2 linked regions of the Sus scrofa genome follow. The protein of the gene in region 2 purifies or fractionates together with the protein of the main gene of each other region. This does not show direct contact. Links are inferred from orthologs where the notes say so. Each region holds a gene or a part of one and is shown on either strand. Other genes may lie near its edges.

What was found.
Region 1: the proteins of FGF11 (region 2) and SIRT1 purify together in Homo sapiens (affinity purification with mass spectrometry; 3 studies listed by BioGRID and IntAct, with this or other methods). This does not show direct contact. The link is inferred for Sus scrofa from reciprocal best matches to the Homo sapiens genes FGF11 and SIRT1.

Annotation. Positions count from the first base shown.
Region 1 is NC_010456.5:71,111,615-71,115,267, reverse strand, and holds part of SIRT1 (NAD-dependent protein deacetylase sirtuin-1), read right to left. Parts: intron 3,449-3,653; coding exon 3,301-3,448; intron 2,315-3,300; coding exon 2,235-2,314; intron 971-2,234; coding exon 784-970; intron 1-783. UniProt on the Homo sapiens protein: NAD-dependent protein deacetylase that links transcriptional regulation directly to intracellular energetics and participates in the coordination of several separated cellular functions such as cell cycle, response to DNA damage, metabolism, apoptosis and autophagy.
Region 2 is NC_010454.4:52,745,087-52,747,610, forward strand, and holds part of FGF11 (fibroblast growth factor 11), read left to right. Parts: intron 1-239; coding exon 240-350; intron 351-569; coding exon 570-673; intron 674-1,293; coding exon 1,294-1,492; intron 1,493-1,786; coding exon 1,787-1,857; 3' UTR 1,858-2,524.

The DNA.
Region 1 (3,653 bases), on a different chromosome or scaffold from region 2:
AACTTAAAATTGTATCTGAGCATTTGCATGCACATCAACACCCTTGTGGATACAGCTGATGCACATATCATGATTATGACAAGGACTCATCTTCTTACCAAAACCAATCACTTTGAGTTCCAACATTCTATCTTACATGAGTACATTACAAATGTATGAAGCTACACATTTGAACTTACTGGACCAAAAATCAATCAAATTTGAAAGATCAATAGCTAAATTCAAATTAAGACTAAAAATACACATTTTTAACCTGTTTCAAAAGTGTATATAAATTTATTTGACACTAACTCCTGCCACGTTAAAAACACATTCCATTGAAAAGTTTAAGTTGAGGAGTTCCCGTCATGGCAAAGCAGAAACCAATCTGACTAGTATCCATGAGGATGCAGGTTGATCCTTGGCCTTGCTCAGTAAGTCCGGGATCAGGTGTTGCTGTGAGCTGTGGTGTAGGTTGCAGACATGGCTCAGATCCCGAGTTGCTGTGGTGTGCTACAGGCTGGCAGCTACTGATTCGACCCCTAGCCTGGGAACTTCCACATGCTGCTAGTGAAGCCCAAAAGAAGACTGGGGGGGGGGGGGGATTAAACTCTGTCCCTTTATTATTCTGTTTTGAAAGCCTTCTTCCCCCCATTGAATGTCAGATTAACCAATCTTCACGAACAAGAATGTCAAAGCCTGGCTCTTTACCAAGAAACAGTAAGATCACTGGGGTCTACTACACACACCTACAACCCATGAAAATATATATATAAATGGTTCTCTGAAAAATCATCAACTTACTTGGAATTAGTGCTACTGGTCTTACTTTCAGGGAAGACCCAATAACAATGAGAAGATCAACTTCATCTTTGTCATACTTCATGGCTCTATGAAACTGCTCTGGTAAATTTTCACCAAAAAAGACAATCTCTGGTTTCATGATAGCAAGTGGTTCATCAGCTGGGCACCTAGGACATCGAGGAACCACCTGCATGTTCCAGATTTTGATTGAGGTGGGAAAGAGAAGGGCAAGCCCAAGTTAGAAAGAGTCAACATTTCCAGACTTCCCAAGAATGCATTTCGAAATTATCAAAGATGACAGAAAAGCTGTGGATAAACAACAGGGAAAACTGGATACTATCAATGACACATTTATTAGCATACAATGAAATGCCATTTTGCTATTATCTATGTATGCTGCTATCCTAATTATCTGTGTAGACCTACATTTGATATTCAAGAGTCAACTCATATAAAGAAGAAAAAGTAGCATGTATATGTATGTATACGTACATACAACATGAATCTTTTTTTTTTTTTTGGAAGCACCTGGAGCATGATGCTGAAGCTCCCAGGCCAGAGAACAAATCAATGCCACAGCAGTGACAATGCTGATCCTTGACCACTAGGCCACCAGGGAACTCTAGATTTAATCTTTTACAAAATAAGTGTGTAAAGTGGAGTTCCCGTTGTGGCGCAGTGGTTAACGAATCCAACTAGGAACCGTGAGGTTGCGGGTTCGATCCCTGCCCTTGCTCAGTGAGCTGGCATTGCCGTGAGCTGTGGCGTAGGTTGCAGACGTGGCTCGGATCCCGCATTGCTGTGGCTCTGGTGTAGGCGGGTAGCTACAGCTCCAATTAGACTCCTAGCCTGGGAACCTCCATATGCTGCGGGAGCAGCCCAAGAAATGGCAAAAAAACAATAAAAAAACAAAAAAACAAGTCTGTAAAATGACTCCATTTTAATATGCTACCCTTGTAATTATATGATTATATATGCAGCTAGCTTAAGAAATAAGCTAAGACATAAATTTTAATGTCTTGATGGTTTTTATTCTTTGCTATATTTTCCTCAAATTTTTTTTGGCAGTGAGCCAAAATACTTTTTAATGTTTTAAAAGATTACCACAACTAATTTAAGGTTCTAAATCTGACAGACATGAAAAAAGGACAGTAAGGAGAAAAATGTAATATGTAACAGCTCACTTATCTAAATTTTTATTCTAGGCTTATATATTAGCCAATTTCATCATTTTGAGAGACACTATGGAACAATGTGTTCAACACAGGTATTAAAAGGTTTTTTTGTGTATTTCACTAGAATCCCCAATAGTAACTAACAACATCTTCCTGGATGTTTCTGTACCACATCAATACTTTCAGGGAAAAAAAAAAAAAAAAAAAAAAAAAAAAAAAAAAAGATCTGGAGGCAAAAGAGACATTCATGATTCCTAAAATATGGGTGATAATTACCTGATTAAAAATATCTCCTCGTACAGCTTCACAGTCAACTTTATATTTACAAATCAGGCAAGATGCTGTTGCAAAGGAACCTAAAAACAACAAACATCTTTGCTTTATTAAAGGAATTTTCTCATTTCTTAAATAAAGGTTATAACATAAAGTTTAATACCAGAAAAGCTAAAGAATTTAGAAATGTTGAGACTTCACAGAAGAGACATCGATGTAATAATGCTTCCTAAAGCTACTCTTTTTAATAAAATATACTGAGTTCCCATTGTGGTGCAGCAGAAACAAATCCGACTAGGAACCGTGAGGTTGCAGGTTCAATCCCTGGCCTCGCTCAGTGGGTAAAGGATCCGGCGTTGCCATGAGCTGTGGTGTAGGTTGCAGATGTGGCTTGGATCCCACGTTGCTGTGGCTCTGGTGTAGGCTGGTTCCCAATTAGACCTCTAGCCTGGGAACCTCCATATGCCATGAGTGCGACCCTAAAAAGACAAAAAAAATAAATAAGATACCAACTCCTGCAGATTTGGAAGATAACAATTGTATTAATTTAACAGTTGTGTTTTGGAAACAGTTTACATACTTAACAAAATGATCTATTTAAAATCTTCCAATTTCTGAATCCTAAAAATCTGAACTACCCAGCAGTTCCTTGGGTTTCGTAAAGACGTCATGTTGGACAGTTGCAACTCTTGACACAGAGGTTAACCTTAACAGATGTGATGTCGCCTCAACTGAGGTTAAGTTCCTGGCCCAGGAACTTCCACAGCCACAGGTGCAGCCTCCACAGCCCCCACCAAGTCATTTTTTTTCTATTCATATCTAAAATTCCTTCTGTAATCCATAAAGGCTATTTAAAAGAATTTAGTGTATGAAACTGCTGCATCTTGAAATCCAAAAGCACATTAATATCTTGACAATTAAGTGTCAAGGCCAATCAATACTTCTGGTTTCATATTTTTGCCCTCTACTTTCCTTAATTTCACCTCCACTCCTGGATGGCAGCCTACTTTCTAACCCTAATTTTTCCTATAAACAACTAACAGAGAAAGCAATTCTGAAGTTTACTAACCATGACACTGGATTATCCTCTGGATTCCTGCAACCTGTTCCAGTGTATCTATGTTCTGAGTATAGTTGCGAAGCAGTTTTCCTTCCTTATCTGACAAGGCTATGAATTTGTGACAGAGAGATGGCTGGAACTGTCCAGGATATATTTCCTAGATAATGCAAAGAGCAGAAAATCTTAACAGATATCACATGTTTTGGTTTAACAAAAAAAAGCTACCAATGCAAATTTAAAGACAATACATGACCATCTCAAAGCATCTAGATGGATGCAACACACACTTACAAAAAGACTTGCTGTAATATGTATAAAACTCAGCAATTAGTGAACATGGCCTCTTGAAAAGGATAAAGTCA
Region 2 (2,524 bases):
CGTTAAACTGAAAGCTGGTGGTGAGAGGAAGCCAAAGGGACCCACACCCTAGCTTCCTCTGGAGTCAAAAGAGGAGAGAGAGGGAGGAGAGAGAGCTTGCTTGGCGAGTCAGCGAGCTGGGGCCCTGGGACCCTCTTCCTTCCCTCTGTGCTTTCTCGCTCTCCTCCGATCCCGCCAAGTGTAGGCATCTTTCTGGGAACAGAGATGTCATGTTCCAAGATGCATGTCTCTCCCTCCAGAGCCTCAGCTCAAAGGCATCGTCACCAAACTGTTCTGCCGCCAGGGGTTCTACCTCCAGGCGAATCCCGACGGGAGCATCCAGGGCACCCCAGAGGACACCAGCTCTTTCAGTAAGAAGGGAAGCCGGCTGCTGGGCGGGATGGGGGAGTGCGGGCCTGGCGATGCCAAATCCTATGCCTGCTTCAGGTTCTGTTCTTTTTAGTCCGGCTCTTCCCCCCCCTTCCCCCCCCCCCCCGCCCCAGGGGAGGAAGTGGAACTGGACCCGGAAGCGGGGCTCAGAGGGGGGCTGGGGGCCCCTAGGTACTGATGCCCACTCTCTCCACCCTCAGCCCACTTCAACTTGATCCCCGTGGGGCTCCGTGTGGTCACCATTCAGAGTGCCAAGCTGGGTCACTACATGGCCATGAATGCTGAGGGGCTTCTCTACAGCTCGGTGAGACAAGGAGGCTGAGTGGCCTGGGGTTTGGGGACCGTCCTAGCTACCGCCTTCTCAACGCCAGATACTTTGCAGCTCAGAGTTTCCACTCCCTCCAGCTCTTGCTGACGCCCTGTCCTCACTGCCTCCACCCGGGCATCTCCTCCAGGGTCCTTCCGGTTGGTTCCTTTTCTTGAACAGCTCCCCCGATACCCCCAGGCTCTTTGAATGTCCAACTCTGTTGACCTTTCAGGACCCCCGTGTCCCAACCTGCCTCCCCTCGACCTGGTTCTTCCTTCCCCAGAGGCATTCTGATTATTGGGGAGGAATTCAGGAATGCCTCCAAGTAGGAATTCCCTCCAGGTCCTCTGGCTGGAGAGAGGCTGGGAGTAGAAGAGAGACACACTCTCTTCTGATTCCAGGCCCCCAGAAGTCTAGAGTTCCCAGCCATCCGGGGCGGACCAGGCTCTCCCTTGTCTGCCCTTCCTCCCAGTTCCTGCATGGACTCAGCAGTCGGCCCTCCCAGCCTGACATGTACCAACTATATCCTGGCTTGTTCTTCCCAGGGCTCCTTCTGTGCAGTGATGTGTCTTTGTCTCTCTGTCCGTGTGTGCCTTTCTGGGTCTTTGTCTCCTCAGCCACATTTCACAGCTGAGTGTCGCTTTAAGGAGTGCGTCTTTGAGAATTACTATGTCCTGTACGCCTCTGCTCTCTACCGCCAGCGCCGTTCTGGCCGGGCCTGGTACCTGGGCCTGGACAAAGAGGGCCGAGTCATGAAAGGCAATCGAGTCAAGAAGACCAAGGCAGCCGCCCACTTTGTGCCCAAGCTCCTGGAAGGTGAGTACGGACCCTGCAGGAAGAGGTGGGCCACATGGGAGGGCATTGACCTTGACATGGACGTGCAGTGACACCCCCTCCCCCCACCCCCCCGCTGCAGTTCAGGGGCTGTACGTGTTTGAAGAGGACACCTGTTAGGACACATCAAGTCAGGAAGGCTTTGGCCTTTGGGGGTTTGGGGAGCTGTCTGGTGTGGGCTGGGGTTCCCAGAGGATGAGTATAGGGGAAGGGAGCCCTTTCAGAGGTCTCTCAGCACCTAACTCTCCTTCCTGCTCCTCTCTCTCCCCTTCACAGTGGCCATGTACCGGGAGCCTTCTCTCCACAGTGTCCCTGAGACCTCCCCTTCCAGTCCCCCTGCCCCCTGAAATGTAGTCCCTGGACTGGAGGCTCCCTGCACTCACACCGAGCCAGCCAGCCACCACCCCAGCCCTGCTCCTGGCCCTGCTCTCACCCCTGCTGCCACACTCATGCCCTCAGCAGCCAGGTCCCACCAGGTGCTCTAATCTGAGGGAGCCCAGGGGCTGGCTCTGACTTCCGGAGCCGCCAAGACTCTTAGATCCTGGGATCTGGGAGGGGGCTCAGAGAGGGGATTGTCTGAAAATGGTCCTGGCTGATCCGTTCTTTCCTCCCACACCCACACCATCCAAAGCCTTCCCCCAAGATGGCACTGGGGGTTCCCAAACTGACAGAACCAGGGCATAAATCCTCCCCACTATGGGCTTGGCCACTTCCTGGAGCCCTTTGCCCGTTCCATTGCTACTGAGCCATAGATTTTTAGGTCCACTGGAGCTCAGGATTCCTTTCCTTCTTGCCCTACTCCACCTTCTGCCTTGTTCTGGACCGGTTCTGGAATATTCAGGCTCCCCAGCCAGGGCCATTTCTGCACTCAGGCTCTGTGCTGGAACACAGGCATGCTGCCAGGCTCTGTTCTGGATCCATCATGCTTCTATCCTTGACCCAGATGGACCCCTGGTTTCCAAGTAGAGAGAGGCTGGATTTAAGCCCTGTCCAGCTGTTGGCCTTGGCCTGCAC